Linked DNA regions of Oryzias latipes. The protein of the gene in region 4 interacts with the protein of the main gene of each other region in a pairwise test. Links are inferred from orthologs where the notes say so. Each region holds a gene or a part of one and is shown on either strand. Other genes may lie near its edges.

Region 1 (5,840 bases), on a different chromosome or scaffold from region 4:
TTATGACTTGTGTGCATGAACATTACCTCCCCTGTCATTTTAGAGAAACTTCCACTTGTTTTTTAGTTTTGCTTTTTATTAGGGGGCGGGGTTTGGCAATTTAACTGCAGTTCATTGACTGCCGTTCATTGACTGACTTGAACAACTTCTTTTTTTCTTTAATCTATTCTAAATGCGCTGCTGTGCCTCAGACCACAGTCCACTATAAAGTTCATCAAAACTACTTAAAATTTCAAAAATGTTCTTTAGATGTCACTTGGGCATGCTTTCTTAAACAAAGTTTCATTTGCTACTAGAAAAACTTTTTCTTGCAAGACAAGAAAGAATAGGTTGCTGCCTTCACCTCTCAATGAGAAGGCTCTGGTTCAAATCCAAACTGGGTCCTTTCTGTGAAGAGTTTGCATGTTTTCCCTGTGCATGTGTGGATTTTCTCCAGGCAATCGACCTTCATCCATAGACGCGCTTCATCGGTCACATCCCAAGGTGCGACTCGGTGTGTGTGTAATTGTGTGGCCCTGCAGGGTGTACCCTACCCTTGCCCAAAATGACCCAGTTTAGGCTCCGGGAGCCCCGAGACCCCAAAAAAGATAGAGTAGGTTAAGAAAATGGATGGAAAGACAGAAAATAAGACACATTTTTCAGGAAAGAAGGGTCTTTTTCACTTCCTTAAGACTCCGTTTTTGCTGTTTAAAACAAAATGCAGTTAACAAACAGATCTTTGCATTTGACTTTAAAAAATAAACAGAACTTTAAGACTACATTCATTGAAGTGGACTCTGGTCTCATTTACACAACGATAAATTCTTGTGTTTAATTTTTCAAAAAGTGGGGCATTATTTGTCTTTTGTTAAAGAAATCTTCAGAGCTTTCCACAATTGTAACTTGCAAAAATTCCTTTCATAGAGGGAATGTGTGCTCCTGGCAACCATACCATTTCAAACAGGCTTGTTGGAAAGGATAACAGGAAGCGACCCTTGTAAGCCACTGTTTTTGTTTCCTGTAGGACTGAACTTTAAGAAAAAGTATCACCGATTGAAACCTGTACATTCCAGAGCATCAAGAGTGGCTTTGTGCATCCACACCAAACTGGACAAGGTCTTTATTGTATGATTTTGAGCCTTAGCGCTTTTGACTAATAACTACACAGCCTGAAAAAAGCTTGATTACCTTATTGGGCCAAATCAAATACTTGCAGAGATTATTGCCAATGCATTTAATATTGGGCCTTTTTCCACACATATTGCAAACTCCATAATTGAGGAAACAAATCAAATTTAACTGGTTTTCAAGCAAATCCTATTAGCTTAATACCAGTTATGAAATTGTGTTTGACAACAGTTGTACATAAATGCTTTGAAGTCAATGCATGTGTTGAGTATGCAATTATAATGAGTTCTATGACATTTTTAAAGCATTTAAGTTTGAGGATTTATTACATGTTCATCACTAGCAAGTTAAACATAGAATGGCACACTTTCTGCTTCATGTGACTAAACTGCAGCTAAAATTCAAAATCTGCTTTTCATGTGTCATATAGTCATGAAACATAGTTTTGGAAACGGTTCTTGATAAAAATTACTGTTTTTAAATGATAAGTCCAAAAAATGAGTGGACATTTAAACTTCCCCAAATTTCATAAATAAATACAATAGTTAATATTTGCTGAAGTGTTTTCACGTTTAGGAACATTTTTATTGTGGTACTCGTTTCTTTTAACCTATTTACGCATTATTTATGGTCAAAATACTTATAATTCTTGTTTTGTTTTGTTTTCCCAAGTCCTTTATATCTAAAATGTTTCCCCAATACCATAAATCTGTGTCATAATTAAAAGCCTGCAAAGGCGAGAGTAGTTAAAAGTATTTTATTTTCCTGATTCAACTAATTTTAAAACAGTGTATATGAATTAAAGTCCAATGTAAATGACAGTATTGGAAGATTGTTTGTTTTTCCAATAAATGGTTATTTTAAAGTAAAAATTTAATTAAAACACAATTTTATGTTTATGTAAAACAATTATCACTAAGGCTAATGACCACCTTCTAAACAAAGCATGTGTGCTTGGCATTGCTGTATTTTTCTTTACAAGCTGTGGCTAAATGGCATAACAGTTAAACTCAAGTCTCCCCATTTAATTTTTTAATTAAATCAAAATACAAATAGATTTGTTTACGTCACTTTTAGCAAATACTAATTTGGATGTATAATTTAATCAAATGTACTTTTTTTGTATATGGATTGGGGCAAAAGTAGATCAGACTGGCAATTTTATGACATTAGTTGATGCACTTTGAGAAATACTTTCACATTCATACACATGTCAATGTATGAATTTGTTTCAAAGCAATTAAGATGTGATAGTTTAAAAAAAACGACCAGAAATGCCTTACTATTTGTAAACTGGTGGTTTATCTTAATAATGATAAAGCCAGACTTTGTTCAAGCCTTCTACCTTTCATTCCACTAAATATATTTCATCTTTGCCTTGCTAGTAACGATGCAGTTATTTAACTGTATGCTATCAGTATCAGTAAATGGGAGGAGATTTAAATTAATGAACTAAACAATTGAAGGAACATAGGTCCTGATAGATGTTGATTATTGTTTTTCAGGAAAAGTACAGTTTATTACAACTGCATGAGATCACAGCTGTGCATTATAACAAGTTTCGATTAGCACAGAGCAGTGATGTACTGGCAATGGCTAAAGTTAGCACAATCCGATTTGAGAGCTAAGCAACGCAAACAGAGCGCTATTTCAGCTAGCTTAGTCGTTAGCATGCTAGTTAGGCCTACAGGCCGCTGAAACGCAACGAAGTATTTGCTAAAACGTAAAAAATTAAAATAAAATGAAAGATGATTTTGACTTGGATTCGTAGACCATTGCTCACACACGTCAATTGCACGGTGTAAGAGTGGGCTTATATTACCGTGTGAATGACGAATTCTCGTGTTGTTTCTAGAGATTCCGATAACGGCGTCGTTCCTCGCGAGAGATGAGCTCGTGCCTTCCTGTGCTCCTCCGCCGACTGGCTGCGACCGCCGAGACAGCCTGTAGGGGGAACGTGCCGACTCTTCATTAGATATGAGATCAGCGTCAGGGTGTAAAGTTTTCTTTTAGAAAAACACTTTGACACTTTGCTCAAAACTACCGACCGCCTTAAAATCTTATGATTAAAGAAATGCTCCTTTATATGAGCGGATGTTTACTGAACTATCAAATTTAAGTTTGTTTTTAGGATTACTTCCTCACAAACTAAAAAATAAACAAAGGATCCTGCACATGGATGTCTTTCGTTATTTTTTAAGCCAACGATTTGAGCAGAAAAATCAACGCTACCAGCAATATCTCGTGTAACAACTGCAGGGGGAAACTATTTAAAGAACAAAGTATAAAACTGTTATCAGCTGAACAATTTCGAGATAGTTTCAGATACTCTGTGTTCTGATTTGAACAGTGAGGGAAAATAGAGAAAATGACACACCATCAACATTTAAGACAACACACAAATTATTTAAAAAGAAATTATACAAATATTATATATATATATATGCAGATCTTTATATATTAAAGATCTGCAAAACCAGTCATTTAAAAACATTTTTTTAATTTAATTGTTAGAGAGACACTCTTGTTGCCATGTTTGTGATTCAACGTGTGTTAATACACGTTTGTTCTTTATCCATGTTTTGTTTATGTATTTTATTTATTAATTTATTTAGGTGTTGTATGAAGCCCTTCAGTCCTGCATTAGCCAAATTGTAATCAAGTGAAGGAGGCCGTATTTGTAAATAGTTGAATTGATGAATCCATTTATTTTTCTACAATCCAACCAGATCAATCTGTCTGAGGCAATTTGGTAACTGAATCAATATACCATCATAAACTTTTTTCAAAATGAAATAAATTGATTATATTGATATTGGGAAATACCATTTGGATTGAGGCACAGAAGGTTTATTTTACTATAACATAAAAACGACCAAATGCCATCACAGCAGGCAACACACGGGAAGGCACCAAAACAGGATCAAGACATCAAGCTATTGCTTCTTCACTTCAATGTATTGAAACCCCCCTTTGAATTTTGCAAAGACACGTGATCATATGGCATAATGTTCTAATCATTTTCTTTCCTTTTGGACTTTTCCCTTCAGGGGTCGCCACAGCAAATCACCTTCCTCCCTCTAACCCTGTCTTCTGCATCCTCTACTCTAACACCAAAAACTGTCACGTTTTCGTTCACTGCATCCACCTCTTGCCTGGCAGCTCTAGACTCATCATCCTTCCATCAATATACTTACTCACTGCCTCTCTTCTGGACACTATGGTCCAAACCATCTCAGTTAGGTCTCTCGACTTGATCTCTAAAACCTTTAACATGTGCTGTCCCTCAGATGTACTCATTCCTTATCTAATCCATCCTGTTCACTCCCAAGAAAAACCTCAGCATCTTCATTTCTGCAACCTCCAGCCCTTTTCCTGTCTTTTCCTCAGTGCCACTTTCCTTTGATTTGAGCTGAAACTCTTCTATCATATGAGGTTCCATTTGTGCCAAAAATATGTTTTTGTGTCCACTGTCTATGTCTTTGGTCCCTTGTCTATGTCTACTGAACGAGTTCATTGACCTTTGGTTCATGCGTTATGTTTAAAACTTTGCATTTGTCTTTCGTCGTCAGAAAAGTCCTTTGTACGGTCGGTTAATTGTTTCCTGTACTACCACGGAACGAAACAAAAAAAAGGTTTATTAAAGCCGGCGCTAGCGTTAACCATGACAAACACGTTTTCTTTAAATACATTTTATTGATATTCCTGCAAACGCACGTTGCCAGAAAAATATGAGGTTCCATTTGTGCCAAAAACATGTTTTTGTGCCCACTGTCTATGTCTTTGGTCCAATTGAACCTCATACTATCACACATTACACCTGGTACTTTTTCCCACCCATTCCAACCTGGCTGCACTCGCTTCTTCACTTCTTTTCCACACTGTCCATTACTCTGTACTGTTGACTCTGGATGCTTAAAATGCTCCATCTCCTTCTTTATCTCTTCTTCCTATAACCTCACTCTTTCTCTTGGGTCCCTCTCATTTATGCACAGGTACTCCGTCTTTCTGTGGCTAACCTTCCATCCTCTCCTTTCCAGGGCAAACCTCCATCTATCTAGCTTCTCCTCCGCCTCTTTGCTGCTCTCGCTAAAAATCACAATATCGTCTGCAAACACCACTGTCCATGGTGATTCCTGTCTAACATCATCTGTCAGCCTGTCCATCACCATTGCAAACATGAAGGGGCTGAGTGCTGAGCCGTGATGTGATCTCCACCTTAAACTTCTCTGTCTAATAATGTTATGTTTGTGTTATTTGTATGTGAAAAACTTTAGGAAATTAAAATGTGAATGGATTTCCTATCAATTCCTGTTTGTTTGTAAACATATTTAATTTACATTTGATTATTGTGCAAAAAATAAAAGGAATCTGTAAAACGTCGCTTGCACTTTTCAGTACCCAGGTATTTATGTATTTGTCCATTGCTATTTTTTTATATTGACGCATTGGAACAACTTCTATTTTTGCAATGTAAACTCCCAACATCTGGTACAGCATGGGAAACATTGGTAGTTCTGAATTTTGCATGTGCTTTTTGGGGATAATTTCAAAATGAAATTCAAAGAACTTCAAATATAGTTTTCTACTAAATCTTTTCATGTGTTTATCTACCAGTGCAATAACGACAACGTTTCAGGCGATTGTTTGACGAAACCAACATTAACCAGAATGGTACCACTCTTTGCGTGACGTCACAAGAAGCGTCTGTTGCGCTGGCGAGGACCGAAAGG
Region 2 (5,950 bases), on a different chromosome or scaffold from region 4:
CTTCTTTACATCTCTCTTTATTTGCAGGATTTGCAAAATGTAAGACATGTCTGTTAACCACTCATGTTGTGGAAGGGGGAGCCCACCCTGTCAACAGTTTGGTGAAATTCTCCAAATGTTCTTGATGCGACATTGTGCAGCTGCTTGAGTAAGTGGGTGGATATGCCTGAAGCCAGCCTCATTGCAGTGGAGGGCGATCGGCCACTCATTATAAAGATCTTACGTAACGCTGCAAGAGGAGGTGTCAGTTGGAAGAAAATCAAGCATTTGGTGATTGATTTGTTGACATTAGGTGCAGGAGGAAAGCCCACTGACCTCAATTAGCAGTGAAATACCCTTCAGATTACTTTATTTAGTAGCTGCAACACATAACAGTCTTTGAACACAGGGTGGAATTCATGGTTAAGAGCTTGGCTTAGCTTACAGTAATGTCCATTTTTTGGCTGAAGGAGAAATAGGTGACCATATCACTGTTTGATAGCAGCTGATTATGATGAGGTAGACAGTGACACACCCAATATGTACATATCTGGATGCCAAAATAATCCCTTGTCTGTTAGCAGGACTACATAATAAGAGTTTAAAAAAACAGAAAGTAACGGAAACCTGCATAGCTCCAAGGGCTGAGCCTCATAAAAGAATTATTGTAAATACAACATGGAGTAAACAAACATGACACCTGTGGGCTGAACACAAGACAAGTCAGACTTCTGTAAAGTAATTTGATGTACATTCAAAAAAAAGCATTTCTTTTCTATAAGAAATGCACATTTAACTGTAGTATTCTGATCATAAAAAGCATTTTTTGTTTTCTAAGCATCAATTTTTATGAGGATATGACATTTGGGGAAAACAGCAATGCCCTTTACCTACACAAAAAAAATATAATCTAAATAAAAAAAATCAAGCTTTATAAATATAAGCTTAAAAGAAAAAATAACTATTGGCAGCTTGGAATTACAGTTCAACAATGTTATCTAATACTTGGCAAACTGTTGTAAAGTTACTTGGCATTTTCCATTTTTGAATAACAACTGTGGATAAAATCTACAAGGTTATAGTAGCTGTGATAAACACCCAAGGTTCTGTGTTTACCAATCTGATTATGCTAAAACATGTGATTATAACAGCCACAAAAATACAGTTCATAAACATTTTTAAGATAAACAGCCACTGCACAACAAAACCACTTTACACTGACGATTAATGGAAACTGTTGGCAGAGAACAAAGACAGAATCCATCCAATATGCTCTTTCCGGCTAAGGGTCACATAACAGTCTATTCATTAGTGTTTATTTAACAGTCATTAAATGCCTACTGAAACACTAACAACCTTGAGTGAGGAGAGCTTTTAACACCACATGTATGAAGGTGTGTTTGGACACCTTTACAGTTACTGGAGAAAGCTCGAAGAGAGTGTAACAGTTCATGTCAATAGCTATTATATAACACTAAATAAACTTGATTGTAGCAAAAAATTCAGATTATAGTTGAAAAGTAAGGCCAAAAAAATGCAAAGTGAGGCATAAAAAGTAATGCTAACAGTGATTTTCTCCTTCTCGTTGCATTGTCCCCACACAGTTTTTAGTAACATTGTGTTCCAGTTAGATAAAAAGCTGCCTTTGTTGACCACAGTAACAGTCACAGTTAGAGTAGTGTGATGCCTAAACATAATATGTTGTGTGTGACTCCAAGATACATCACAAAGACCACTACAGTCACTGCTATCATGTCAGTATATTGATCTATGCTGTTATTTACAGAGATCTGAGAAAAATTCCTACGGTTTCCTCTCATGTGTTTAGACCTAAAAAGAACCAAACTGGTTTTCAGCTGTACAACAGCGTTCCCAGGTAGCTAAACATCCACAGCAAACAAGCTCTGCTATAGATCCATCTCAGTTAGAAGTGTAGCTACACCACACATTTGCTATGCTATACAACCCCCAGTCACAGAGCAGATGTACAGCAGCCAAGCTGATGCTGCACAGTTACACAACCTCATTCCATGGCAACCATGCTGATCATCTGACAGCAAACTGCTCAGCAGCTCTTGCTGTCTCTCAGTCGGCCTTGTCCTCGCCGTTCTTGGCCCACCCTCGGCTCATTGCAGCCACCACGATGCTGTACATGTTGAGCCAAGCTTGACTCAGCGCTGCGGTGTAGGCCTGACCCAGGCTGCACTGGAGCATGTACAGAAGAGACTCGCCCACCACCTGACGGAGTGAAGACAAGCACAAAATCATTTCCCCCCAAGTTCAGTCACATATGATGGAACTGCTTCAGTAGAGCTGAACTGGGAGAGGTGGGCCCTACAGCAAACGACTGAGTGCTGACTCCCACTGCTTGATGCTTCCTCCCAAGGTTGAGCAGAAAGTCCTCCAAAGAGTGGAGATCATCCAGATGGTTGACAGCCGCATCAATCACAAGCATAACCTGTGATGCCAGATACAAGTTAATAGTGTTAACTAATTCATTCCCTCTATATATGCACTTGTGGGACAGACTTCTCACCTTAGTAACATGATCAAGGAACTCTGGGCTGGAAAGGCAGTCTTGTGTGGAGCCACAGTTTGTGTTATAGTTGAAAAGACTTAGAAGTGCGGGGTCCAGCTCAAACAGTCTAAAACAAACAAAATCCCATTATTCTGCTGGTGCATTCATGAAACCCTCATGCTGGATTAATCATGGATATACATATTTCTCCTGCTGGAGTCTGATTGAGCAGCAGCTGTCACAAAGTAAATTGTAGATTATTGCAGTCTGTCGCCAAGCAACAACTCAAGACTTCAGTCCTTGCATGGTAAAAGTGTGCGGCCAAGAATCTAGCTACATTCTATACACCTGCATATTGCAGACTCTTACCCACAAACGGAAAATTCTGTCAGTTTAAAGGTTAACAAAACATATTCTCGCAGTGCAGAGAAAGGACAGCCTTGAAAACATGCTGAATGTGTAGAGCTGGATCACCTGGAGAACATGATCACCCCGTGAGGAACTTTGTTTTTGCCCAGACTCTCCCAGCTGCCTCGTATCAGCTCCTTGTCTTTCCCTGACAGCTTCTCCATCTTTGCTCGGGGACGCAAGCACAAAAACAAGTTCTTCTGAAAGGAAAGCACACAACTCCTCTACAGGACAACAAGGCTCGGTCTGAGGAAAGCCATAATATTGGGGGTGAATCCACAGATAAAACTTCTCCTAACCCACCTACAAACAAACAAACAAACAAAAAAACTGTGGAGCATCACATCAGACGGAATATGCACAGAAATGGAGATCCATGATTGCAGGATAAATGGTGGTACTGTACCTGCTGGAGGTCAGTCCTCTCCCTCAACTTCCTCTGGTGCAGTGAAGCTTGGGGGTCTGTCTGTTTTGTGTGTGACTGTTTTTATGCTGCTGGCAGCTGCCTGCCACTCTGGTGCACTTGTTCCTTTTCCCTCAGCCCACGGTGCAGGAAGGTACAAGTTCTGCCACGCGCTCAATTGTCACGCTGGCTGCTATCTTTCTCTCTTTTCTCTTCCTGCTTGCCTTCTGATATGCTCTCTCTCTGAAGATATTATTTATGCCACTGAAGGAGAAAAAAGCGGGATCTCTCTCTATATGCCACCAAGGAGATTAAGTGAGCCACAGCTCCTCCTGCAGGTGAATCAAGAACTAAGACTCTACATGCAACTTTTATGTTACAGTCTGCTAAATAACAAACAAAAAAAAGGGCAGCATAATTGCTGCTTTCAGGATAGTGGGATGTAAGCTGAATCCCAAATGCACCATCAGCTGCCTACATTTTTACCCATGATTTTCTAAAACTTCGATGTGTGGGAATTGTAATGGTTAGAAAAAGAAACCTTAACATACCACCTTGGGAAAATTACATTGTTCATCTCGTAAACAGAGCCACTCCTCAAAGAGCCTGATCCTAACATTTAGTGGCAAAGCGTGCAGCCTCTCATTAATCTAAATGAGATGTGGGTTTTTTTCTTTCTCCTGCCTCCACAGGCATTTATGATACAGTTTGTTTAAATAAGATGCATTCCCTCTGGTCTCTCAGGCATTTTGCAAATGCAGATTCCATTTGAGATGAAGCCCAACATGTTTTTCTTACTTATTTATTTTGTATTTTATTCAGCTCTGCATCAGGGAATCAGAGGTGCATCGCTTTCTCCAGAGGGGCTACATGGCAGAATGGGGATGGATGGATGGAGGGTTCCCATGACAACCTCACTGGATTGAGCCCTTGAAGCTATACCATGTGGTATCTTAGGTTTCAAAGGGGTTTCCACGATTACCTGTGATGGAAACCTGTGCAGAAGTTTAAGCATTAAAACATTGTTAAAATATACATCTTTTCATCTAAATAGTCACATTAAAGGGATGTTTGTTTAAGTCTCTGCAAAGATGCAGTCCATCACTCTGTAGCATGTGGATTTAAATATATATCTGACAGCTGCCTTTTTGTAAGCAAAAAAAAGCAGCTGTCAAAGCACAAGAGTACAGCAGAGGCCAGGGTACAGGAGCATTTGATGTGGAGCTGTAGGCTCAGAGGGGACCGCTGAGCGGCCTGAGCAAATGCAGACGCACACAGAGGACTGTTTATTTAGCTGGTGGTGCAGCTCGACAAATAACAGGGAACTTTAACCCAACCATCCAAGAAATGCTTGCTGTTCTTGAGGGACATTTGTAATGAAAGCACATGCAGTGGTACAGTTATATTTTAAAAATTCTAAGCATTTTTGGATGGTTTTTTGAAAATCATTCCCCTTTTTAAATGGCTATTGAATGGTTTTTCAATCAAGCAAAATTAAGCCTCAAAGTTTTGGAGCTTTTATTTTCGTAACCAAGATTTCAATGTCTAAATTACAGCCTGGATTACAGTCATGGATTTCTTGGAAGGAACATCATCATATAATTGAAACAGTACATATGGAATATAGGTCTAGGTTTTGTATTTAGATGCATGGTTATTTATTTTATAAACTGGTTTCTTCTCCCATGATCCCAAAAATATGTGATTCTACAGATCATATGTAATTTCATATTTTAGAAGTGGACTTTTTTTTTTTTTACTATCAAGGCGCCTCTGTAACATGAATTATTTCTGAGGGCAGAGTTGTTTTCTTGTAAAAAAGCCACAAAATAGAAAAAAAATACAGTGTCCCGCTTGGACCTTTGTGATCATGGTGTTTCTTCCCTTTTGGACTTCACGCTCTCCTTCTCCACATCTTCAATTTTCTCCCAGTCATCTGCATTTTCTTCCCTAAATCAGACATGTTGGGTTAGAAATTGGCAACATTGTAATTACGTCAAACTTTTACTTGGCAACAGCACTTATCTTTCCTTTACTAAGGAGTTAAGGTCAAAGAATTATGTAAAGAACAAACCACACAAAGTCCTTGGCTTTCCAGAAGCGCTGCTAAACATAATTTTACTGGACATGGTAGTTTTACACAGTAGAGGAACACGCTTGCAGGAAATATCTCATACCTGATGTGGCTGCTTTCACTTTTAACGCTGTTGATGCTTGTTTTGGTGTCATCATCAGATCTGGAAGTGTCACCTGTTTCATCAACAAATACCTCCGTCAAGCCCACTTTCCTCAATTTGTTCCTATAGGTCTGCTCTGCACAGTCCTTTGCATTTCTCTGCACATTGGAAGCAAAAGTTATGCAACTCCAGTCATCATAAAGTAAGTCATTCAGCTTCCTGTGACTTACCTGTTTCACCTGTTCGAACAAATAGGGACGTTCCTTAACTCTGGCCTTTATGTCCTTTAAGTCCCTCATGTAGTTGTTCATTCTTTGCTTATCCGTTTGTCTTTTTTTAGAATAAGAAAATAACTTAGGTTCCTGAAGCAAATTTTTTTAAATCTGAATGACCAACACTAACCGATGGCGCTGCAGATTTTCAGTATGCACCTCTTTCAGGCTGCTGTGTGGGTCCAGAAATTTT
Region 3 (5,991 bases), on a different chromosome or scaffold from region 4:
TACACTGTTAAAATAAAACTCATCACTAACAGTTCATGAAAGAGAATTCATTAAAACGTGGTGAGATAAAAGAAAGAGGGATAACCTCTGTACTGTGTATTAAAAGCCAAGTTTAAAAAGTGGCTTTTTAGAGAGCACTTAAAACAGGCAGTTATGTTGTCTGTCTAACATGAATTGTTCCAGAGTGTTGGAGCTGCAAAAACCTTGGTCCTCTATGAGTTTGACTTTTGCTTTCAGTCATTCTAGAAGCAGCTGATCTAAGAGGATTGAGAAGGGGTAGGCCAATATTAGGAAAACTCGCAATTTGCGATATTAATGATGATTAATATTATTATTATAAATAATAAATATTATTATGATGAAATAATATTACATGAAAAAATAGTAAAACAACCAAATCCATCATTTCCATTTAATTGCAACAGTTTTATTGAAATAATAACATAACTTAAATTACACTCTAAATGACCCTCGTCTACATAGGAGGCGGGCATCTAGCATAGAAGTCGTCCATCCAATTAGTCAAAAGGATTTTTTTTATACGTTAAATACTTCAAGTTTCCATATGATTGTTTTAGCACATTAAAGGTAACCATTTATTGCAATTTTCCCCGTCTTTTCTGATGTGCGTATTGCACAGCTTGATATCGTGATAACAATACATTTGCGATTTGTTGTGCAGACCTAGGAGGGGGCTTAAGGCTGCAGGAGCCCATTGAGATAACGAGGCGGCAAACCATGAAAGGATTTTAAAACAAATAAAAGAATCTTAAAATGAATTCTAATATGAATAGGAAGCCAGTGTAGTGAGGCTAAAAAAGGGGAGATGTGATCATATGTGATGCCCCAAAACAGACTAAGAGGCAAAAAAAAGACCTCACAGCTTCACCTGAATAAAAACTGGAGACAAAGTTGTCTTTTGAGTAAAATTGCAGTCATTGTTTTTAGGTAGTGGGTTATTGCTAAAATAAACAGACCTCATGATAATGAAGGGGGATCTAGTTTAGTTTAGTCTGAATTGAATTGAATAACGATATTGTTCTTCCTTTGAAAAGGCTTGGGTCAGAACTTGCTAAAAAACAATCTGGCTTACCAGAACTTTCCTGACCTAATTTCAGCGTTTGACATAAGCGGTTATCCGGTTGTCCGAGACAACCAGATTTCACGGAGGACAACCAAATGAACCTGATGGTTGTCCATGTGACAACCTGATCTTTTGTTCAACATTTTGGTATTTTTCGACTATTTTTCAAGTTTCAATGGTTATTATTTGGCAAACTCTGAATTGAGACCTATGCAGCAAATTCTTTCCACTGACAAACGAAGTGCATGCATGCAAGCGAATCCTTTGTTTCTACATCTGTACTTTTCAATAAAGATTACCGGTTTTCAAATACGTGTTGAACAATACCTGGTGCGACCGCTAGAGGTCTCCAAAAACACACAAAAGGATTTTGTTTTCAATTTTTTGGCAATACTTTGTGTAACCAGATGCTTCAATATTTAGTCAAATGTTTGTTTTTAATATTTAAAGAGTTTTTTAAATGTCCATCATAAGAGGCAGTTGATATTAGATGTATAGAAGAAATAAAGATGTAAGTACTGACATCTGAGTAGGTTTCGTTGCTGTTGAATATTGGTATCGAAGGACAACCAAAAATTGGGGAGGACAACCAAGTTTACTTGCCAGGTTGTCCCTTATTTCTAACACTGAATTGTCACCTGTCAGTATCTCACCTGTCTGCTTTTCTGCTGGAAGCTCTTTGTGTTTCTCCAGTTTAGCCTCCAGAGATTCTGTGCAGAACTTGAAACCATGTTCAGCAAGCTCAGCCCTCAAAAAACGACAAACTCAGGTCAGAAAACTCTGAACTTCCACCCAGATAAATCAGTTGGCCCGCCTCTCACTTGTTCCTCTCAGCATAGATGGTGGCCAGTTTCAGAGACATCTCGATGACGGCGTTGTCGTCCTGGAGGCAGAGTCAGCTGTGAGACTGCAGCTGTTCCGTTCAAATACAAATGAGGCGCCGGCACGACTCACCTCTGGAGTTCCTCCTGACAGCATGAAGCTCATGGCGGCTTTGAAGAGTTTCTCTGCCTGAGAGGAAGAGGAGCACAGATGAAGATGTCAGCTGACAGCTGAGAGCTGCAGGATATCTAAAAAGAGATAATGATGTGCAGGAATAAGAGTTACTCCTAAAAGACAAACCCAGCTTCACATAAAGTGAAGGAATGTATCTGATAAAAATGACAAACATGTTACAGTTTAACCACTTCCACAAACGGTTGTGACTATGCTGCAATGAGCCAATACTCACATTCTCCAGCTGACCCTGAACGTAGGCAAGATTGGCCATCTGAAAAGCAAAACAAATCTGAGTCACGTAAACCAATAATGTGGTGGTAGACTGCATTGTTAAGCTGCATGACAGCTCCTGCCTGGACAGGTGAGAGCTCACCTGGCTATAGGTGTAGATGATGGCCTGTGTGTTGTGGGTCTGATGAGCCAGAGCGACAGCCTGGTGCAGAAAGGAGGAGGCGGCCTGCATCTGACCACGGTGGATGCTGAGCTGTGTACGAGTACAAACAGTAAAAATATCTTTACTTCGCTGCAACAAAACACTACAACATTACTGTAACAATGCCACAGCCGCTCCATCGTAAACCTGTTCCTCTACAGGTGACTCTCCGTCTCTGCACCGTGCACTGTGCACTGTGCACGTGCAACATGCAGGAGTTCCTGCTTCTGTTTCAGCCCGGCTTATGGTACCTTTGCTTTCTTCAACAACAAGATCATCTCATCCTCCTTCTTCTGAGCTTCATCCCGTTTGTTTTCCTCAGAGCTGCTGAACAGGGAGAAGGCTGTGCGTGTGCACACACAGTCAGCACAAAGAAGAAATACACGTGCAGTTTTTGAGACTTTAGTCTGACCGAACTCACCGACTGCTGCCCACAGAACTCCTGCTCCTGTCTGGACGTTTCTCCTGAAGTGTCCATGTCTGCTCTGCGCTATCAAGCATCTGGAGCTGGCTCCTGCCTCAGGTTGTGATGTCACAGAGAAGCTCTGAACAGCAATGGAGCGCCGCCTGGAGAAGAGAAAAATATCTATGCATGACAAAAGCAGGCAGAGCTGTCCTGATTGTCTGATTAACAGTAGATGACAGAATTAAAGATCTGTCTCATAAGCCTAATTTTAGAATGATTATGGTCATCAACATCTGACATCAGATATTCATGCACCCATATTTAGCTTTGAAACATGCCTGATCTGTTGTAATATCTGTAGTAATCTGTATGTATTGTGTCTGTACAAACTGATCTGAGGTAATAATACGTTTATTTATCTACATTTTAATACAGATTTTTTTCCCATTTCAGATTTTATGTTTTGCTTTGGTCACATGACAGTCTTCAGGGATCTGGTTATCATTATCATCAGCTGGTTTATGCACCTCTTCTCACTCTTAATCCAGTGTAATACAGCAACAATATGTATTCTTATTAATTTGTCCCCTGATCTAATTTAAACTGGGAGTGTTTTTAATGATATAATAGTGAAAGAAATGCCGGTAAAACCTGTTTGAGCTGACGCTGTCAAATCAGAGGACACCTGAACGCACCACGTCCTCAAGTTTAAGGCGCGCGGCAGAGAAAGCCGCAGCTATCGAGCAGACTCTGAGAGCGGCTGACGGCTCCCACTGACGGAATTCTCCACTCAGTTAGGGTGGGTTAAAGGACACGAACTCACCTGAGTCCCGCCGAACCAAAAATCCCACTCTGAGTCCGGCGGAGGACGGCCAGGACCGCACGGTATGCTGCCATCTTGCCTGTTTACACAAGACCGGAAGTGACGCTTCAGGATGCACTTCTTCATAATAAAAGACGTACTGAAAATTATTTTATTTTGAAGCAATACAACTGAACGTTTGGCGAATGAGACACGACCCGTATTTACAGTGAATTCGCTTGTGGGTCCTTTCTGGCTATAAATTATAATTTTGCACATTTTCAGCTATCTCTATTTTAGTTTCAAAACCATTAGGATTTCTATATGTTGTTTGCTTTTCTTTCCTTTTCTTTTTTTTTTTTAAATATTTTGGAGAAAAAACTGATGCTCCTTAGAAACAAATAAAAACTTCAGGAAAGTTTTAGCTATGCATATTATAAACTATTAATTGTTCATTAAATAAGAGGCCCTTTCCCTGTTTTTATTTTTTGTATGGTACTTGTCTTGAGTAAGTGATAAAATAATTGGTACCAGGAACTTTTTAGTTTGTTGTCATTATTTAACCCTTTTAAGACAATTTTCTTGTTTTTTTTAACCTTGTATAGGTTAAAAAATACGAAAATAGGAATAACACTATAGTGTATTTAGTCGAATTTAGAGAATTTTACCTTTTTTTCAGGTATTTTGTCCATTTTTGCAGTCAATATTTAATAATTTACTACAGTTTTCTTCCACTTTTTTTGTGTTCTATGTCATTTCAAAGTTATTTTTAAAAATGTATTATATAAAGTATTTTAGTCTTTTCATTTCCTTTAGTGTTTCAGCATACTTCAACTTTTAGTACTCACTCAAGAATTTCTTTTATATATTTGATAATGATGTTGTAACATGACATATAAAACAAAATAATGACAGCAAATCAAGACAGTTCTTTGTTTTGGTTTTATTGTAAGTTTCATTTTTACTTTTCTTCAAGATGCATATTTACAATATTGACAATTGTTTTCCTTGTTTAACTAGACAGACACATCCATCAGAGAGCAGGTAGAGCCAAACATCAGACCTCGGACATCAGCTTTGACTAACGTTCAACCCTTCAAGAACAGGTCCAGACTTTATGTTTCAGATGAACTAAGACCAGGTTTCAACCCAGTGAAGCACAGATGGAACAATAACAAGCTTTCTTTTTAAGCTTTGTTTGTTTCTTCTCCATTTATGTGGTCTCTCATAACCGCAGAGGCTGACGAAAATATTTTATTAGAAGAAACCAATTGTTTAACTGTTGGGTCTCACTTCCTATTACTGTCACTACCCCTAATGTCCTGCTGGTTTTAAACATAGAGGTTCACCAAGATTTTCTTCCAGAAAGCAAAAATTCTTAGGTTTTACTGGTAGGTTTGAAGATCAAGCTATTTTGTGTCACCCACATTGACTGTATGAAAACTGGACTGAGTGACGAATGTCGCATTCAAACAGGAAGTATCCGTCACTTCCAAGACGCTAAAATCCCATCGACTTTTATAGAGAAATAGACAACTATTCTTCAGTCATCATACTTGAAGAATAACCATTCTTGCTCTGATTCCTTTATTAACATCTTCTTTCTTCTTTCTAATCCTATTTTCATTATATTTTTCTGTAGAAAAGGTTATTCAATTTATAAACTTACCAATCAGATGCTTCAATAAAAGTATGTCGTCACACGTTTAATGTTTGAAGCGTTTGACAGATTCTCCTGAGTCTGCTTTCAAGTGGCAGGGGTGTAGTCTTCTAACAAGCTCACTTCTGATTGGTAAGCGTGGTTCAGTAGATAAAATGACTCACTGCATACTGATGTCTGGCTCCAACATGGCAGCGTGTATATGGTAAAAATAAAAATAAGCGACTGAATTGACTTCATTTGGTTTGAGCTAGAAGTAAGCCATTTTCTATGGGTGACGTCACACTCTGTCCAGTTCTCTTATACAGTCAGTGGTCACCCACTGTCAAACCATCACACAATCAGCTTACTGTATAGATATTCTCATTTATCGAGTTAAATTCCACCAAGTAGTAGGTTAAAAAAAAGGTGGGAACTCATGAACCAGCTGATAAACCTGTTTCAGTTCACTGTTTTCTTTTATCTACTACTTACTCTATAGTGAAGCTTCAAACGACCAAAACACAAGCTGCACATTGTCATACAAACTTGCAGCACCCCCACCAGTCTGTGACCATTACTACAATATCTTGAGTCATGAGACAGCTCATTATGGGATTCTTTTAAT
Region 4 (6,038 bases):
TTGTGTGTTTTTTTTAATTATATGAATAATAGCAATTTCACATACCGAGCTTTGCAATTTTGGCTCCCCTTCTACTTTTGGTGGTCTTAGCCTTTTCCTGTGAGAAATAAAATATAAAGACTAAACATTTGAACTTAAAGCAAATAAATAGAAATTACAAACTTAAAAATAAAACAGTGAGGTAAGAAGCCATCAAGTTAACACTACTGTGTATTTTTCTCCTACCTCCGGTTCCTCCTGGTTGTCCTCTTCTTCATTCCCAGAATCCATGTAGATTTTCCTCTTTTTGCGCACACGTTTCCCCAGCCCCTCAACTGCAGGGTTCTCCCGTTCCTGGGCAGGAGATGACCTTTAAAAGAAGAAAGTTAGTGTTGCCAAATGACAAACCCGAATAAAAAACTGTTTAAAAGGAGATACATGCGTTTTTTACCTGCCACTGGAAGGCTGGGCACACGCAGAGCTGCAGAATTTGCCCTGAAAGAGGGCAACTCCAGAAACACGACCACCGCAGGCCCTGCACCTCAGCAGCTCTCCTTTAGGCCCTGTTTCTGCATTGGAACCAACGTCTGGACTGGGACCAACCTCCATGTTGGGGGCCTCCGTGCTGCCACCCTCCTCTAAAGACACAAACACATGACTAAACGCTGAAACACTGAGCAAATAAAAGGGGGATGCAGTGTCCAGAAATCACTATAGGGAAAAAAAGTGTATTCTACAAACTGAAAAGTGTAGTTCTTTATAAAAGTAATGTTTGACACAAGCTTTTATACCTCTAGTTTGAGTTGATCCTGTTTTATTCTGATTGGCTGGAGCTGTAGCTGAGCCTGTCTGTGATTGGGCCTCTGGTGGAGGGGTGGGAGTGTGAGATGGCGCAGGGTCCAAGGTCTCACTGTTAGACACGGCCTCCTGCCCTTTGACCTCCAGATCTGTGACAATCTCAAGAGTCCCAAACTCTGTCATGCGGAACTAAAGCACCAAGGGGGGAAAACAGCAACAGAAAAAACAGCTGATTGAATATAATGACCATTTTCTAGATAACATTGTATTTTGATTATTTCAATGGCCAAATTATCAAGATAATTCACTATATAAAACACCATGAGTTAAAATGATGACAATTTTTGTACAAAAAAAAAGACCAGAATGCAGAAAAAACCTGAACTGTACCCTTATGTCGCTGCCTGGCAGAGTGGCTATCCCATCTTTCCAGTCGAGGGCTCCCATCATGTCAAACTCAGCTCCCTGAGAGGCTCCATCACTGGGTGGAGTGTCAGTCATCCCCACTCCACTGATACGACCACCCTGTAACAAGAAACCACTGTGACAAAAGAAAGAAATGTGCAATGGAACCCAAATGCATAGAACCGATCAGCAGGACTAAGATGAAACATTTTATTGTGTTGTTAAAGTTGGACAGGGTTTTTAACACGAGAAAACAGCCGAAATCACCAAAAGCAGCTCCTCTCTGCACTTGTAAACAGCCTTACGCAACATCACCAATAGATGGCGACGGCGAGCCGGCTCGCCGGGTACACCATGCACTTCGATTTCAGACAAAAACAGTCAATAATAATGCAGTTTTACCGGCAAACTAAGGGGCAAATACGCGCACAAACGACCTCGTTGGGGTAAACCGTGACCAAGACCATTGACAAGCCCGGCGAAAAATGTCTCAACTTTAAATTAAACACACAAGTTCATCTTTTCCTTGTTTTAACAGTATCTCTTAAAGATGACTGTTTCCCGGGTGACGAGCAAGTAAGGCGGATATTTAGTCATCCATTTCACAGAGAACATTGTTTTCTGCACTCACTAGCCAAACTTAAAAACGTTTAAAGAAGTCTGTTATTCTGCAAAAACGTTTTAGTCTTGACGCATGTTCAACACCGAATTAAGGTGATATTTTTGGTTTGTGCCGCGGCAATAACCAGTGTTAAAGTGAACAACAATCCTAGCTTATGGATTGTTGGTCAAGTTTGGCTTCAAGCCGGAAACCTCAGTTTTATTCCAGCCATAAATAAAAGTGTCTCTAAGAGCGCCCATGATGATTAGCATTCGTCTTATACAAAATGGCGGAGCATTGGAAGAGGCCACCAACACGTTCAAACTATGTTAATTACTCAAGTTACCGGTTTAAACAAATATCGCAAAGCTGTAGTGCGTCAAATAAATGCAGACGTTTTCCGTGTAATTCCCAAGATGGTGTTTTTATTCACTCTGCTCATTTTTCTTCACTTTCCCCTTGTCACGGAATGTCAACCCAGCTTGCTACAGCAGCTAGTGCTGCAGCTAACAGTTAGCTAGCCCCCTCCTCCCTTCAGATGAACGGGTAACTGCTACACGGCTAGCCCTAGCATTGTGACTGTAAGCAGCCAGCTAAGGACGATCCGTAATAAATAAGTTTCCCACTTAATAACACCGGGAAAACGCCTTTGCGAAACGCAGATCTCAAACAAAATATTAAATGCACTCAAACAATAAGATCGTGCCACTGTTATAAGCTTAAACATTGTTGCTTGATTTATTTCTTCAATAGAAACTTGAAAAAAGAAACGATTTATTCTCGCCGTTTTGAATCAGAGTGGAAATAACGCAAACTAATGTTATTTATCAAACTAAACTCCGTTTTCCCCCTAAATTTAGCCCACGTTCGCGTCAATAAATAATATTTAAGGCCCGCAATGTTTTGAAAATTGTGGAACTCACCTCGTTTCTGTTTTAACTCTTATTTAGAGCTGGATAGACGATGCGCATGCGTGCAAGATGCGCTGCCTGACAACTTTGGGTCTCGGAAAAGTTCAATTTACTTTTAGTGGTCAATAGCAGGCACGCGTGCGCAAAGCACGCGCCCAAACCCCAGTTCGGTACCAGTATAATAATACTCCCAGCAGGATACGGGGGGTTCCTCTTTCCCCTTCCCACCCCGAACACGAACAGTCTATGAAGTCACCAAGAACTAGGAGTATCATAAAGCGCAGGACCGCAGCGCTCCATTAACCGTCGAGAAGCGTCTAGTTCCTCTGTGTTCAAACAGTTTACGTGCCCATTTGAACCACGTTACTCTCTGGCAGTACAGTCCGTGCTAATGCGCTCCGATTAGCCAAGTCTCCGTGTCGTATTCGAGCTAACATGCGCTAATGTGCGCAAAAATAGCGAAAGGACTACTTGAAAAAAGTCAAATGCATCACGGGACGGTGCACCGGTGCTCTTTAGTAACACTGTCGTTTCTGGCCGCAGTCTACGGCTATAAAAACGGACTTAAACATCCCATCCTCCTGTTTGTACAAGTACCGAACCTGACAAAGTAATGCACCAAACTAACCCCGGATATTAACAGAATGTTTGATTTAAAAGCCGCTATCACAACATTTCTATCATTGAATGCAGATTTAGTGATTTTAACTTGAAAAGCTCGATTTGCGCGGTGCGGTTTTGTTTGTATATTTTCAGTTTAAAAGTCCTGGTACTACTAAGACTTATTTATCCCGTGTTAGTACTAAATATTGAGCGGCTAACCCAGATTGTTTTGGCGTTTCTATTACCTTCTTTTTCATTTAGTAGGCAGCATTTTTACCCAAACTAATATTTCACCTACATTTTTGAGACGCCATTATATTAAATGAATATAAATCTGCACACCAAAAATACAGCTCTTGTTTTGTTAACAAAGGTCGCTCTGACACGAAATGAAATGAGTTCAGCTCGACCATAATAGCGGCGTGTAGCGGCGCCGCCTCTTGTCTCCTCTCTGCCGCTAGATGGCGCGCCGAGTCCAGTTTGTGAAGGATTAGCGGCGTCTGCTGCAGTCTGCATTTCTGCAATATTTTTCCAGTATAGCGTCAAGTGCAAATCATGAGATGGCATTCAAAGGCAAAGCGGTCGATTCAAAGGTAAGAGGAGGGCATCGCCGTGCTGTGCTGCGAGGCTGGAACACTTAAAATTATGTTTTTCGATTCTGTCTGTCGAGTGACAATAATGTATGTCAGATACTAACAAATTATATGACACAGTTGTGTTATGTGTTTATTATAACGCCAGGTTTACTTGTGTTATAGGCGCTGTTAGTGAAGCGAAGTCAGTCTGCTTTAACACTATGTTCTCTATTACAAACCGGCAGGTTTCTCACACCCAGGACGTGAAATTACATGCTTGACATCTTAGACTGAATAAATGACCATCTCGTGTGTTGTCTTGCAGACCGTGCTGCTCAATCTCCTGCTCTGCCTGCTGATATTTTATTCTCTTTTCTATATGATCGGGAGCGTGTGCTTCGGCGCGTTCAGGTGAGCACACGCGCATGCGCACTGCTGCTACACAGAGGAGAGCAAGTGAAATTGTGTTTTTTGGTGTTCAAAACTGCATTTCTGGGTATTTCTTTGTTCAAATCATTGTAAGCAGGAGCAGATGAAAAAATGCAGTTTTAAAAAACACGTAGCAGTGAAGTAGGTGCTTAAGTCGGGGGGCACAAATTCCATGCTCTGTTCCGTTCTGATGCATCCAATTGCAGACAAATAGATCACATTTTTTTGTTGCACTGCCAATGTTAAGTTGGGGTTGTGAGGGGCTGTAAGCTAGCAGGACAGAGTGTAAACAAATGGATGTTGGGAAACGAGGACAGGCTTTCTCAGCACCAACAGTCCTGCCTAGAACTCAGCGGTGAATGCTGCTCTGCAGAAACTATGTCCTAGAAAGCAACACACTTTTTTGTTGTTGCTAAAAACGGCATAATCATAATTGAAAGACCATTGGAATTTTTTTTACAATAGATCAAAATATGATAGGAGAGGGACTTTAATGGATTATAGAAGGATATTGATATACTGTAGAACAGGGGTCGGGAACCTTTTTGGGCAAGAGAGCCATAAACGCCACATATTTTTAAATGTAATTTCGAAAGAGCCATACAATAATGTAGAGTTTCCCACACTGAGGCACGGAGACTTAACCTCTTTTAAGGTTCTTTATTCTGGTGACTGCAGACCACAACAAACGCCGTAAAATTAATTCAGCAACTCCTTAATCTCTCCTGTCGACACGAGACGAGAGAGAGCGCTTCTACCAACTTTATATTCACCTGCTCCCGCTCCAGCCCTCCCATTTCCCTTATTCGGCCCATAGCTGAACCCCATTGGTCCAAACTACCTAACAACAGGCTGAGCGACAGAACTGAGAGCCAATCAGATCTCTGCTTGATGCGGTCAATGAACTCCAGAACTTATAACGCGGCCCAACAGCCATCCAACTCAGTCCGCGACAATATGTTTAAAACTAAATATACAAATGAATGTGTGCATTTGATGTAATTTCAACATTTTTAAAGTACAATAAGTCTGTGGATTCTTTTTAATAACATGGTTATGCTGTTGCTGATAAATGATGAGTATTTCTCGTGGTAGTTTTGCTGATGGTCTAGTCTGGTTGATACGTGGTGAGTTTCTGCTTCACGCAGGCGTTGAGACTTTAAACGTGATCTTAGGTCTGAATGTTCTGTAGATGTGACAAAGACTGCTCACATGCAGACGGGGAGCCAAACACACACTCACACGCCGCAGTGACTGACGGGCAGCGGGTTTTACGTTTTTACAATCCCTGCGCGATTCACCTGCTGCCTGTCCCCACAACACCTCAGCCCCACCCCCCTGCTTTCTCCCTCACACATCCCGTCCCCGCAACTGCGCGCTCTTTCTCAGAGACGGGAGCGCGCACTTTTAGGCACGGCAATTCACAGGTTTCCAGTTGGTACAAACTCTGTGAAATTATAGATAATAGTAAACTGATAGCGCTGGCGCAGATTTTTCTCTCCAAGCACCGCTACTATTGCGCGCCTCTTTTTTTTTTTTTTTTTTTTTTTTTTCGCGCCCGAGAAGGACTGGACTAATGATAAAAAAAGTATAATTAAAGATTTGTCTGCGAGCCACATGTGACCATCAAAAGAGCCATATATGGCTCGCGAGCCATAGGTTCCCGACCCCTGCTGTAGAAGGATATGATAATAATATCACTTTGAGCAGTGTCCCAGTACTTATTCTTGCTTTTTT
Region 5 (5,249 bases), about 8.0 Mb from region 4:
AAAGAAATGTTTCCCTTTTTGATACTTTCCCCTTTTTTCCACCTGCTTGTGTTTCCAAAGCAAAGACCAATGAGGTAATGCTGAATCCAGATGAAATGACGCCAACACTCCTCAGGCTTGTTATGTAATCCTTTAGGTCACATGACGAGTGCTTTGTACAACACTGTGTTGACAATTCAAAATAACTACGTGGTTAAGTTCAAACTTATGAATGTTGACTTTCAAATGAAGCTAAAAATGCATTCAGTACAAAGAAAAATAAGAAGAATATTTGTAATCCCATTTTCAGCTGAACTGGCCTCACAAAGCACCCAATTCCCACTTCTGCGCTCTTATTTTGAAAAAAAAAAAAAAAAAAGAAATCAGCTAAATCCTCACAAATTTCGAAAAAATTAGCAGCTAAATCTACCCTTTTAAAGACGAAGAGCTGGTTAAAGTGTTTTAAAAGTGTTTCCGCAAACAAACTTAACTTTCCCTTTGTGGCCTCAGCGGGGGGTCAGTCACACTCCCCGCTCCTCTATTTCCTGCTGACGCACACACCGAACAGCAGCCCCATCCAGGGTAATAAGTTTCAGAGTGGACCTATCATGAAGTCCCTGTTTTTTTGACGCCTGCTTTCATTTACCTTTCATTACCTTTTCCCGCCTGAGGAGTGCAGTTTTCTACAAGGCCATGCGTGACAGTAAAGGCCACGGCTCCAGTTAGGGCTTTGGGTCGGCTGCTGAGAACAAACGTCGAGCACCGAGCTTTAGCTGTCAGGAGCAACTACGCCAACTAAAATATTGCTGCATTTAGTGTAATAAAGGGATTTCTTTTGTCATTTTACAGAAAATAGATGTACAAAAATAGAGCAAAAACGCATGAATCTGTTACAGTAAAGCCCTGGCTGGTTTGTGAAGGACAACAAAAGGGAAGAGCTCAAACATTTTCTTTTCCCTGCAGACAGATTTCTGTCAGTCGATGGACAGAAAACATTGAGAAGCATAAAAAAATGCATTCGTACGGAGGACTGCGCAGAGGGAGGTCTCACCAACACCTCTGGTTTCTGTAGTGCCTAAATGCAAAGCCATTAGAAGAGCAAAAAGAATTAGAGGAGATGACCATTTTTGGTGGTTATCCAGTTAATTCCACTTTTTGCTGGTTTGTAGGAAACTTTCAATCCAGCTGGATTGAAGGAAAAATAATACTTCAAAGGGAAACGAATGAATCATTCTGCTGTGGTTAAGTCTTTACATGATGATCATGACTCCATTAGGGAGGGAAGTGAAGAAGGAGAATGTCAAGAGTCTTTTTGCATAAAGCTGAAAAAGCAGAGGAAGCAGCAGAATCGGGCATTTCTCAGTCACTGCTGTCGTCTTCGTCCTCATCATCCGACAAGTGGTTGTTGTTGTACCTCGACTCCGACCAGCTGTTGGAGTCTGAGCACGGCGCCAGGCTTCCCGACGTCAGCTGGGCGTAGCAGAATTCACAGACGCGGACGGGTTTGGACGACTGGCTGGGAAGGAGGTACTTCTTCTCCGAGCAGGGGTTGCACACCACGTAGCCGCATTTCCTGCAGTGGTGGCGGCGGTTGACGGCCGTGAACTTCACTTTCAGGCAGCGCATGCACACGGACGCCTCCGAGTCGGGCACCCACACGGCGGCGTGCTCGCCCGTCGGGGATTTGCCGCTCTTCTGCAGCAGGTCCTTCACACACTTCCCGATGTGGTTCATCCACTCGCACTTCTCTGTGGCGGTGGCGGCATAGACGGCAAACGACTTGGTAGGCGTCTTGATGAGCCAGCCGTTGCGCAGGTCGCCCTCATCCGGCACCGTGTCGATGGTGACGCTCTCCAGAGGGATGATGTGCTGCTTGTTGTACTTCTTCTTCTGGATGACAATGTTGCCGTAGACCAGGATGTCGTTGAAGAGGAAAAACTGACGCGCCTTTGGCTTCTTGCGGCAGAGTTTGGTGAGGACGCCCTCTCCGATCAGGACGCGGCCCGGAATGGCGAGAGGCTGGCCTGCAGCTCCAAAGCAGCTCTCCACCATTCCTATCCGCTTGGAGTTGGCCTCGCTGTTAGCAAGCCGGTCCACCATCTTCACCTCTCCTGCAAGAAAACAACGATAAAAACAAATTAACGTCCAAAGCAACAGCTCAGTGAATAGAGACGTTTTTTAATGTTCATGTTCAAGAGCAAAACAGCACAAGAGCTTCAGCTTTTGACTTGTTCTTTTTGCTTCTTCTTACAAACCCTCCTTGTCATTTTTCAGTTCTTGTTTTTTAAAGCACAGATTTGGAATGCTGCCCTCTGTGACTAACCAGATCAGACAGCAGAATCTGCTGAACGCAGCTCACCTGATAACTAATTAACAAGACTATTTTTTGGGATAAAATCAAAATTATTTTAGATTAATTATTTATAAGAAATAAACTCTCAGCAACATCAACAATTCTGAACTCGCATAAAGACAAACTTTTGCAGAATTTATTAAAGCTAAAAACCATTTGAGTAAAAACATGAAACAAACATGAATTAGACAGCCTAAAGTCTAACACTTTTCAGGAATATAGTCTAATGACTCAAAAATAGGAGATTTTGGTGTTTAACAAATTCAAAAAAAAAAAGTCTAAATACCAGACATGGATTTTCAGAATTTAAAAACCCATCCATCCATTTTTAGAACCTGCTGAATTGTTTTCGGGTCACACGATAACTGGGGCCAACCCAGCTCCTGTTAAGCCGAGGAGGAATGCATCATGAACAGGTCACCAGTTTGTTGCAGGGCAGACACACTCTCACAGATGCGCACACACACATGCACAATGAATCTCTGAAGCATGTTTTTGGACAGTGGGAGGAAGTTCGGAGCGCCCGGAGAAAATCCACACATGCATGACGAGAACTGCAAACTCCACGCAGAAAGGTTTTAGCCGGGATTCGAACCGGGACTCCTCTCTGTGAGGTGAGAGCGCTAACTGCTACCGTGAAACCCCATTGGAAAACCCCAGTAGAAGGGAAAATTTCAAAACCTCTCATTTCAAAATGAGTTCAGTCACCAATGTTCACTTAAAGACAGAGAAGGCCGTGCTCTTGATGCTCGAGTAGTCTTGACTTTACAGAAGCATTTTCAAAAAAAAGTTTTTGTTTTTATGAGCATCATCTCTACAGTAAGACATGTAGACATATTTCTATGAGCTCCATTCATCACATTAGGATGAAGAGTCTTTTTGCTCATCCTTAAATCTTTTTTTAAGCTTTCACAACAGTTTCAAAAGACTACAGAGACGAAAGCCTCAACACACATTTTCTTTGCCGCTGAGACCCAGATGCCAGCGCAGTTGGGCTCTTGGCGTCTTTCTCTGCCTTTCATAAAGTACAACAGGCGAGGTCAAAGGTTATTGATGATAAAGATGAAAGGGGAACTATTCTTTCTGGCAAGTGCAGAGCAGATACAGCGAACGCTATGTCTGAGTATTGAAGCAACATCAAACCAAAGTGCACATATGCATTACAAAGCCACACTTTACTTCCACCCTTCTTATTCCTATACTTTATCTCTTACACACAACCCCAAATGACAGCTCCAACCAAAGCCTCTTCCTTTGAAGTGTTCAGATAAACTGCAGGTCAGCAATCAGATTTAGTATTGTAAAACTGTTCAACTGGATCCAAAGGAATCCTAAAAGTGCAGCTTTCATTCAACACTGACTCAGTTCAAGTGCAGCTGGTGAGCTCAGAAGTGCTTTAGCACTAACAGACGTTTAGATTTCACCCTAAAATACACAAATGAATAAGAGTTCATTTTTGATAGATTGAAAAGATCTGTTTATGGTCCAACTTATATCACATTATTCAAAATAGTTTAGATTTTTTACAAACATTTTTGTATTCGCCTCAATAAACAAGATAATAAATAAAAAGAATGAAGCAGTCATAAAGAGATTTCATATTTTGCTTTAGGCAAAAATGCTCATCCTTTTGTTTGACAGCAGATAAACAAAAACAAGAGCTTGTGGATACCAACAACCAGACAACAACACTGTCATCGTGTCGTTCTAAGGTCAGAGATTGCTCTGACTTTCTCTGAGCCGTCACAGGAGAGCCACAGGATCCTTTTGGAAGTGAAGATGGGGAACAGAACTGTTCTGTGTTTGCTTTTAAATAGGTTTCCTTTTCAGGTTAGATTCTCATGGGTTTACAATGACAGCCTCACTCATTAAGTTTACATTGTCAACATAATCGCTGACAAACGCTATTATTATTATTTTTTCATGCACTGCTCAGGGGACATTCAAGCTCTCGTGTTCTATTTCTGTGACGGGTTTGACCAGCAGCATTGGGCAGCTCTGAGCTTAGGCGCCTCTGGAGCAAATGGAGTTTGGCTGGGGTGGGGGGTGTTCTCTCCCAACACTGTGCCAGTTCAATCAAACCAGCAACCCTCAAGCCACAAGCTGCATTCTCAACCTAACTCTAGGCTATCGCTGCCCCCGTTTGTTGCAGCTCCACATCTCATCAGAAGATCTGAATTTACTGAATGCAAGTTTGGAAATGACCCGACTTTTACTGGTTAAGTTAAAAGCAGATAAGAAAAAAAAAATCCCAACAGACCAGGATTCGACTAGTTAAGTTCAAAACCTAGAGTTAGTTGCATTGACTTTATATGAGAACTGGACTGAGTGACCTCTCCCCCCACATGTTCCAAACAGGAGGTACCTTATGGCTCCAAGAAGCCAAAATCCCACGGAGTTCTATAGAGAAATAAACTTCTATTACTCACATATTGTATTTGTCAGGAAAACTATTGTTGCTTTACAACTTATTTTTAACATATTCTTGCTAATTCTGATATTTTTGTCATGATATTTTTCTTTATTCCAAGTTATCCAAAGTTATAAACTGACCAAGCAGATGCCTCAATAAAACTAGGACGTCCAACGTTTGAAAAATTTGATTGACAGATTCTCCCCAGCTCACTTTCAAGTGGTAGGGGCGTGGACATCCAACAAGCACAGCCCTGATTGGTGAGAGTGGTTGCCATGGAAACGATGATTCAGACCGATTTGGACCAATGACTACTCATGATGGCTCCAACACAGCATAGTCATTTTCTGTGGGTGTTGTCACACTCGGTCTTAATGTCACACTTAGTTGACATTAGGACTTTTAGAATACGTAATTCAACAGTAGCTATAAACTATACTACTTTAAAACTGAAGAGTAGTTTGTTGGACAGTGAAAAATCAAAAATATAACTGGTAGTTTTAG

Evidence for each region.
Region 1: the proteins of l3mbtl3 (region 4) and banp interact in binary tests that used the Homo sapiens proteins (3 or more experiments, as listed by UniProt). The two-hybrid records come from large-scale screens. The link is inferred for Oryzias latipes from reciprocal best matches to the Homo sapiens genes L3MBTL3 and BANP.
Region 2: the proteins of l3mbtl3 (region 4) and ngb interact in binary tests that used the Homo sapiens proteins (3 or more experiments, as listed by UniProt). The two-hybrid records come from large-scale screens. The link is inferred for Oryzias latipes from reciprocal best matches to the Homo sapiens genes L3MBTL3 and NGB.
Region 3: the proteins of l3mbtl3 (region 4) and ttc19 interact in binary tests that used the Homo sapiens proteins (3 or more experiments, as listed by UniProt). The two-hybrid records come from large-scale screens. The link is inferred for Oryzias latipes from reciprocal best matches to the Homo sapiens genes L3MBTL3 and TTC19.
Region 5: the proteins of l3mbtl3 (region 4) and plekhf2 interact in binary tests that used the Homo sapiens proteins (3 or more experiments, as listed by UniProt). The two-hybrid records come from large-scale screens. The link is inferred for Oryzias latipes from reciprocal best matches to the Homo sapiens genes L3MBTL3 and PLEKHF2.

What each region holds. Positions count from the first base shown.
Region 1 is NC_019864.2:22,009,967-22,015,806, forward strand, and holds the start of banp (protein BANP), read right to left. Parts: upstream 3,411-5,840; 5' UTR 2,930-3,410; intron 1-2,929. UniProt on the Homo sapiens protein: Controls V(D)J recombination during T-cell development by repressing T-cell receptor (TCR) beta enhancer function. Binds to scaffold/matrix attachment region beta (S/MARbeta), an ATC-rich DNA sequence located upstream of the TCR beta enhancer.
Region 2 is NC_019880.2:13,053,061-13,059,010, forward strand, and holds the start of ngb (neuroglobin), read right to left. Parts: upstream 3,631-5,950; 5' UTR 3,312-3,630; intron 3,209-3,311; exon of another isoform or gene 3,106-3,208; 5' UTR 3,070-3,105; coding exon 2,972-3,069; intron 2,625-2,971; coding exon 2,516-2,624; intron 2,438-2,515; coding exon 2,318-2,437; intron 2,218-2,317; coding exon 2,065-2,217; 3' UTR 1-2,064. Other genes in the region: protein FAM161B, read right to left, coding at 5,177-5,258, 5,486-5,643, 5,716-5,815, 5,888-5,950. UniProt on the Homo sapiens protein: Monomeric globin with a bis-histidyl six-coordinate heme-iron atom through which it can bind dioxygen, carbon monoxide and nitric oxide.
Region 3 is NC_019875.2:10,840,900-10,846,890, forward strand, and holds the start of ttc19 (tetratricopeptide repeat protein 19, mitochondrial), read right to left. Parts: upstream 3,857-5,991; 5' UTR 3,820-3,856; coding exon 3,746-3,819; intron 3,084-3,745; coding exon 2,938-3,083; intron 2,860-2,937; coding exon 2,768-2,859; intron 2,568-2,767; coding exon 2,457-2,567; intron 2,355-2,456; coding exon 2,316-2,354; intron 2,096-2,315; coding exon 2,039-2,095; intron 1,968-2,038; coding exon 1,906-1,967; intron 1,833-1,905; coding exon 1,738-1,832; intron 1-1,737. UniProt on the Homo sapiens protein: Required for the preservation of the structural and functional integrity of mitochondrial respiratory complex III by allowing the physiological turnover of the Rieske protein UQCRFS1.
Region 4 is NC_019874.2:17,835,253-17,841,290, reverse strand, and holds the start of l3mbtl3 (lethal(3)malignant brain tumor-like protein 3), read right to left. Parts: upstream 3,359-6,038; 5' UTR 2,707-3,358; intron 1,303-2,706; 5' UTR 1,279-1,302; coding exon 1,168-1,278; intron 967-1,167; coding exon 771-966; intron 618-770; coding exon 431-617; intron 350-430; coding exon 226-349; intron 98-225; coding exon 46-97; intron 1-45. Other genes in the region: transmembrane protein 244, read left to right, coding at 3,858-3,890, 4,198-4,283. UniProt on the Homo sapiens protein: Is a negative regulator of Notch target genes expression, required for RBPJ-mediated transcriptional repression. It recruits KDM1A to Notch-responsive elements and promotes KDM1A-mediated H3K4me demethylation.
Region 5 is NC_019874.2:25,821,605-25,826,853, reverse strand, and holds part of plekhf2 (pleckstrin homology domain-containing family F member 2), read right to left. Parts: intron 2,091-5,249; 5' UTR 2,080-2,090; coding exon 1,339-2,079; 3' UTR 1-1,338. UniProt on the Homo sapiens protein: May play a role in early endosome fusion upstream of RAB5, hence regulating receptor trafficking and fluid-phase transport. Enhances cellular sensitivity to TNF-induced apoptosis.